2 linked regions of the Oryzias latipes genome follow. The protein of the gene in region 1 interacts with the protein of each later gene in a pairwise test. Links are inferred from orthologs where the notes say so. Each region holds a gene or a part of one and is shown on either strand. Other genes may lie near its edges.

Region 1 (3,754 bases):
ATATTCCTACGAAAATGTGCAACTGGATTATACCAACAATCTTGTTTTGTAAACTTTACAGCGTTAAGGCTAGGTTATCGCTATGTATAAATCATTAATAGAAAATTAAGACGTTTAAAAATATTCTAAGCAAATCGATCCCTTAATTAAAAATATCTGCACTTCAGAGGCAGAACAAAACAAAAAACTATGTAGAATTATTTGGCTCACGATCAGTTGGACTAATATTTAGTCATTGCAAGAAAAATTACACAAAAGGTGGAGGAAAAACTTGCAAAAACATTTAAAATTCTAAGTCCAGTTCATCCACATGTACATATTCCAACATGAATCCTCTAAATATGAACAGAACTGACCTCTGTGAGTCCTTTTATTTTCAAATAGCCACACAAGTAGGAATCCTCCATTGTGACATGCTGTAACAAATAATAAACAGAACTTTTAGGTCAAATCTCCACTGAATTTATGTTAAAAAAAATAACAAAAACAAAACTTGACGGTCAGAAGCTGCAGTTTCTCAAAAAATGTCAACAGCCCCTAATGTTGCAACATTTAAGCTAGTTGTGATAGTTTGTGTTAATTTAAACTGGTAGAAAATTGTGCAGCTGGTTGTTGTTAGTCGGTGTTGTTTGGGCGCAGTTGCTCTGCTACTCCCACCACTACACCCACAGTTGGTCCAGGACAGGCCGGGACCCCCTTTTTTTTTCAGCTGTCACTCTTCCAGCCGCCACTTTGACACATCACCCGAAAGCCTCGCGCTCGCAGTACGAAAAGCAACATTTCCGCCTCGGTGCCCCCCACCTGTAAGACCACCTCAACGTCGTAGGAGTTCCCTTTGCTTTTCTGGTGGCCTCTGAACTTGGAGCCGCTGTACAGCAGCGACGTGACAACACCGGGCTGGTGAGTGTTTATCGGCGGCAGCGGGATAAGCGAGGCCGAGGATGCAAAGGCCGCGGCCGGGAACTCGCTGAGATATCCAGCGGGGACAGGCATAGCTCCAGCTTCGCAGGCTGAACTCCAACCGCGGTCAACGGCCGTGCGGCAGCGGGACTCGGTCAACCTGTACGACCAGCCAGAAAGAAAGTCCCGAGGAGGTCCTCAAACATTCAAATTGCTCTTAATTGCGCCACAGTTCAGTTTGCGAAGCATCAAGCTCCCCAGAACTAAAAGTGGACTTCGAAGCTGCGCTGTAACCAGTAGCAACGGCTTATCTCATTGGTCCAACAACTTCACCCTCGAAGATCGTCGACGCTCATTGGCTGAGCAGGCGGAAGAGTATTCGTGAACATTTTTGATGTAGTTTTTAAGTGATGTGTAAGCGTTAGCAGTGCCAAAAATAAACTACATTTCCCAAAGCATGCAATGAAAACATTTTGTAGCTTTGTAGCATCGAAGGTCACACGCGTGGTTTTGAACCGATGTGTTACTGTAAGCTAGATGAAAACCTTAATGTTTAACAACAGATTTATTGTAGAGTCAGGTTCATTATACACTCAAGATCTGTTTGTTCAATGTGGTACTTTAGTGCGTGAGAGACCGGCTTAAGAAATCGCTAGTGAATCGTCTTTTTTATTGTAAACAGTATACGTCCAAATTTAGGTATGAATATGTTTAGACGTGTTTTTCAACTTCGAAATTCCTTTGGAAATGTAATTTCAGTTTGCAAGTCGTGTCCCAGTCATCAGTACTCCAAGTGTTTGTCAAAATACTCCACTGCATCTACAGGTAAACGTGTTTATTTTGACATTACTATTATTAATTATCAATATGCTGTGTGCTAATCATGTGCTACATGTTTTGCTATTTGACAGAGAGGAAGAGATTTTATCAAGATGTCAGCATATCTCAAGGAGATGGTGAGTCTTATTTAAAATTTAAAATAATTTTATTTATTGTTCCAGGGAAGACCAAGATTGATTATATTCTCTAATTTTGTGACGATTTTGTCCATAGATGGTTTGTATGAAATAAATCTGGATAGAAGGAAACTCAAAACTCCAGGAGGGAAGCTGTTCACAGTACCAAATGAAGCCCTGGCTATCGCCGTGGCAACAGAGTGGGATGCTCAGAGGGGGACACTCAAGTTTTATACCATGCACCTTGTATGGGATATTTTTTCTGACCTATTTACACCACAGTGTGTAGCCAGCCGTACTCATATGCCGGTTGAACTTTTCTTGCAGACCACTTTGTGCAACACGGCTCTGGACAACCCCACCCAACGCAACAAGGAGCAAATGATCAATTCAGCGTTGAAGTTTTTGGAGACTGACACGATCTGGTATGGATTTAGCTTTTATACTGTTTCTGTCCAGAGTTGATGATTATTTGGCTCATTTATGCCGGTTACTCAGTTTAAAAGATAAAACACCTGTATTTCAAATCAATATTTTACTTGAATGGAGAAAAAATGTTCTTAATCTAGAGAGAAAAGCAACAAGGACTTCAAAATAAAAGCACCTAACAGAAATACCAAAACAATAGAAAATTCAAAATTAGGTTTGTTTAGATAAAAAGTACCCAAACAAATCCTGGACTTGTGAGATGCAACTACATCTAATATGTTTTTTTTTTTTTCTATTTCTCTTTGTAAAAAATAAAACGTTATCTGCCATTCTGTGCTCTTTTTTTGCAATTTTTTTTGCAAATAATAGTCAAAATGCAATTACTTTTTAGCTTTTTGAAAATGTTCGAACCTATTAATATAATTTAGACTTTTTTTTTCATTATTATAAATTATACTTGTATAATGAGATATATTGTTTAACTGTCAACTATGTATTAGATAATCCCTTTAGTTCTTTAAATTTATATATTACATATTTATTTATTTCCCTTGTCTTTTTAACTTTTTACACATATTTAAAAAAAACTTATTATCTTATTCAGAATTTAATTTAAACATTTTATTGTGGTCCTGAAATATTCAACTTCTTTACACTTGTCTGCTTAATTGTTTTATGGATACCTTAGTAGTTTTAGCAAACAGATTTGCATCAGTCTTTTATTTACAATTATTATGTTTTAGCTACTTTATTGTGTAGGTGTGAATTTGTAATACATTTATTGGCACTATATATCTTTTTACATTTTCTATTTACTTTAGCATATTAGCTTAGGATTTAGCAACGTTCACTTTCTTAATTTCTTTAGCTAATTAACAATTTTATTTTACTGTTTTTTTGTGTTGATCCTTTTGTTATTGTGATTATTATTAATAATTATGCAGTGTATTTTTAGTTATCTCCCTTTATTTGACTAATGTAGCATTTTGCACTAAACTGTAATGCCACTGTAAAAGAAAGCAGATGTTTTTAGCTTATTGCAGAAAACTAGCATTTTTGTTTATGGAAATAAAATAAAAGAAATGAATTTTGGAACTTCTATGAATTTCATATACTAGATATTTGCAGGAGAAACTTTTTTTTCTCGGTCCATTGTCAGATGATTCCAGACTCCAAAGCATTAAAAATAAAGAATTACTGTGAAAATGAATGCAACAAACTTTTTCTTTGACCTAATTTCTTTAATAGGACCATCATTGTCTGGCCAGTAAAGTGAAAGCAAGGTCTGTTTTGTTTTCACCGGAGATGGTTGCCATATACCTGACTGTGGAGCAGGCTGTGCTGCTCTCTTATAGCATCTGCCATTTGGCTGCCTCTTTTTTTTAAGTTTCATTTTCAGATTAAGTTACCTTGTTGTCACAAAACAGTGATTTATTTATGCTTTGATTCAGTTACAGAGTGGAGGATCC
Region 2 (3,754 bases), on another chromosome or scaffold:
TAATTATATACACCTAAAAAACAACTTAAATATGAAAAGAAATATTATAGAAGCATATCAAGATTAAAGTGACAATTCTCTGTGTTTGAGACATCTGAGTCAAACTGCTCTCTTTTTTTGTGTCCTCTTTAGATTCTTAAAGGTTTTGGTGTGTCTGAGAACAGGTGTAGGTCACAGCATACCTGCGCAGTGCCTGGTCCTTCTCATGGATGGGAACGTGGTGAAACAGGTGAGGAATCATCTCCATAATCCTCCTGGTTGGCTCGGAAATGCTGGCTCTGTACTCCGGCTGGGCGTGTCTCCTTTGCATCACTTCCTGTTTGGCCGACTCCTTTAGTCTCTTATAGAGGGTCCTGAGGCCTTGAGCGGTGCGGTGGGGTCTGTCTCCTCCCAAAGCATTGTACTGCTCAGCCACAGTGTCCCAGCACTTGTTCTTGTCCACAATGACCGCATGCTTGTTGGTGTGCTCCTCAAGGATGCGGATGTGTGGACATACCAGCTTCAACAGGTCCAGCTTCTCAGAGAGGGTGAAGTTGGAGGACCGAGCCTTTCCCACCATGCTGGACGGAAACATGGAGCTGGAAGCCATCTCATAGCATAATGGATTCAGATTGCGTCAGATCAGATGCTGTCACCCTTCTAAGAAACTCTACACTCAATGCGGTGGCTCTTTAATCCGTCCTGTTTTTAGTCCTTGCTGCCATCTTCCTTTGGTCCATAGATCTAACCCCCTCCATGTCTCATCTCCCCTCTCTGGTTTAAATGGTAAACTGTAGCTAACAGGTGCATGGCTTCACACACTGCTGGGTTCTCTCACAGCTACGCTGCACAACAAAAACAGGATGTGCTGCACACAATAAGAATCAGGCTTAACTAGGCCAGCCTCGCTTAGGCCCCCGCCTACTGCAGAGGGTTTTGGATGAATTCCTCCCAGCTTAGGCTGACGTAGCTAAGCTGCTTAAGCCCAGCCCGACCTACATACAGCCTGGTCTCTCTAAACCCCACACCAAGCTAAGCAGCACAGTCATATTGTCTGTACTGTCAAAATAAAATGGTAATAACATTCTGTTGTGCTTTTAGTGGAGATCAGACGGTCTCTAACTGCAATAAAAGAGGTTATTTGGTTTCAGAGTCTGTTATCTTTAGGACAGAGATGCTCTGAAGTAGAGCGAGTTTAACTCAATGAGCGGGGGACGGGGGGCGTGGGCTCACTGAGCATGCTCAGAACAGCAGCTTCTCTGCCCCGCCACGATTGTTGTTGCTGCACGTGCGGTCAGTTTCGAGCGGGGCATCACCAAACAGTCCGCCGAAGCACGTGGAAAACCGTGCAGACACGCGCCGCGTGGCTTCAGGACGTTCGTCTGATCCCGAGCACAGTCCTAATCTGGACCCAGCAGCTGCTCATTTACATAATGCTGGACCTGCTGCATCGACCCGCCCGCTCCAACAGACTCTTTCAGTGTAGAACAGTGATCACGTGACACCGTTTAAGGAGGGGAGATGTGTTTAGTCCCCCAAGATCTTTTTTTATTTAAACAAAAACATTCCGAGTGGTTTTCTATTTATGATTATAAAATTATAACAAAAATCCCACAACATAATTGTCTTAAAAAGCCACATTTCATGTTTGTCTTAAGCCTCCGTTTCCAAAATCTCCTCCACGTGGGCGTGGTCATTGGTGCTTAGCTGGTAGCCCCGCCCCTGACCCCTCCCCTTTCTGCAAGCTGTGTCTTCCATGAGTGAAGAGCTTGGCACAAGAGGGGGGGCACAAATGACAGACATAGAGGTGTTTCTCAGAAACGGTGAAGTGACATATTTTCTGTGTGTATCAGACCCTGCTGTATAATAAAATTACACACGAAAAATAACTTTTACTAGCCCATGAAAAATGCTTTGAATTACATTATAATTTAGGCTACATTGCACCAGCAACACTAGCTGTGGCTCAGAACTGTTTTAATATAGCACATGCAGATTGTTCAATTCACACCAAATACAATGAAATGCCTGAAAGAAAGTGACTATTCACACGTAATTTTCCAAATACGTGCAGCCAGTGCTGAAACTTTTTTCTTGGCCGCACGGACCCAGAGGAAGGGTTAAGTTTAGGAGCATGTCTTATGGATAGGGCAATGCTGTGTTCACACCGAACGCGAGTGGCGCGGCAGAGGCAGCCAGTTTTCAAAGTTAATTACATGGTAGAGACGCGTGCTGAGGTCCAGTGGTGTGATTTAAGCGACGGGTGTGGTGCAAAGGTCTGGCAGCAGCGCGATTTCAGCGGCGCTGTGCAATTTGATACCCGTCCGAACCAAATCACCAAACAGTACTACTGTCCTACACCTGGCTGTGGATCCTGCCTCTGGCTCGTCTCTGCTCTGCACCTGACCGTGTACCTCGTCTCTGCTCCTGCCCTGACACCTGGCTCTGGATCCTGTCTCCTGCTCGACTCTCGCCCCTTACTGTCCCCCCAACTCCGTCTGGATAAAGCTCGTCTGCTGGACTTTAAATATGTAGTTGTAGAGTTAGATAAGTTAATTCTTCTCTAAGAGTTCTGGTAAATCGCCTGTCCGTCCTGGGGGAGGATCCCTCCTTCATGGAGGCACCCCTGAGGTTTCTTCGTTTTTTCCGGAGTCCGTTTTTTTTAGGAGTTTTTCCTTACCGTGAAAGGGGTTTAAGGGCAGGGATGCCAGTATAGCTTAGTCAGTTTGTTAGTTCATTTTAGAATTTTCCTATTGAACTCTTTGTATTCATGATCCTTTTGAGTTCATGTTTCACTTTTTCAATTACCGATACTAAGCCCATCGAGACGACTGTTGTTGTGAATTTGGGCTATACAAATAAAATTGAATTGAATTGAACAGTACCTGTAACGGTTATGCTGGGCGAAGGTGTGTACACCCTGGACAGTCTGTCCCAGGAGGTGAGACGTCATGTCATTGACTAAAAGCGTTAGCAATGTCTATAAGATCAATACCAAATCCAGTATTAGTTCTAATTAGATCTGTCAGCTTTAATGGTAATTTGAATGTTTAAGCATTGTTTTCTAAAACCTTTTGGAAGTATGTGTGTGTATGTGTCTGTAAAGTTTTGTAAGGGACATGCTTATGTTGGTGGAGCAGGTTAGAGAAAAAAAGCCAAATTGTTTTCCCATTATTATGATAATTAAGGAAATACAAGTGATAAGTTTAAACAAAGTAAATATATATTGTTGATGCTGATGATGAATAAATTCTACAGTTTAGCTGAAAGTGTTATATAAAGTAAATTCAGATATTATTTAATTCCGTCAAGCATATTATTTTACAACACTGACATCTTTTCAGTAGATAAATTAAACTTGTATGTCAGACTGAATAAAAAGTGCTGTATGAAACACACAAACTGGGTTGCAAAATATGTTTACCTGAAGAGTCAGATCAAAACCACCAAAAAACAAAAATTAAGTATAAAAATAAAGGGCAAAAAAAAAATTCTACTGTAGACCAGAGGGACTATTTTACTGATGACTCCCCAAAACATTAGGATACAACAGAAGTAGTACTGCCTTATAAATTTACACAAACAATTAGAAACATACCTTTATTTTCATCTTCTGTTAAATCTCTTAATCCAGGGACGGATTTGGTGTCAGCCTCGTTTTCTTTACTGTCAGTAGCACTGAGAACTCGAGCCAGAGCCCGTGACAAAGGGGCAGTTTGGCTGGTTTTAGCAGACACATTTATTTCACTTTCCACTGCCACAGATAGACTTCTCT

What was found.
Region 2: the proteins of atpaf2 (region 1) and fsbp interact in binary tests that used the Homo sapiens proteins (3 or more experiments, as listed by UniProt). The two-hybrid records come from large-scale screens. The link is inferred for Oryzias latipes from reciprocal best matches to the Homo sapiens genes ATPAF2 and FSBP.

The regions. Positions count from the first base shown.
Region 1 is NC_019877.2:3,256,472-3,260,225, forward strand, and holds the start of atpaf2 (ATP synthase mitochondrial F1 complex assembly factor 2), read left to right. Parts: upstream 1-1,357; 5' UTR 1,358-1,601; coding exon 1,602-1,725; intron 1,726-1,811; coding exon 1,812-1,856; intron 1,857-1,953; coding exon 1,954-2,102; intron 2,103-2,183; coding exon 2,184-2,281; intron 2,282-3,736; coding exon 3,737-3,754. Other genes in the region: gid4 (glucose-induced degradation protein 4 homolog), read right to left, coding at 1-6, 357-416, 802-993. UniProt on the Homo sapiens protein: Plays a role in the assembly of the F1 component of the mitochondrial ATP synthase (ATPase).
Region 2 is NC_019874.2:17,752,118-17,755,871, forward strand, and holds the start of fsbp (fibrinogen silencer-binding protein), read right to left. Parts: upstream 2,500-3,754; 5' UTR 590-2,499; coding exon 183-589; intron 1-182. Other genes in the region: DNA repair and recombination protein RAD54B, read right to left, coding at 3,578-3,754. UniProt on the Homo sapiens protein: Transcriptional repressor that down-regulates the expression of the fibrinogen gamma chain. Represses transcription of GSK3B gene promoter via its interaction with APBA1.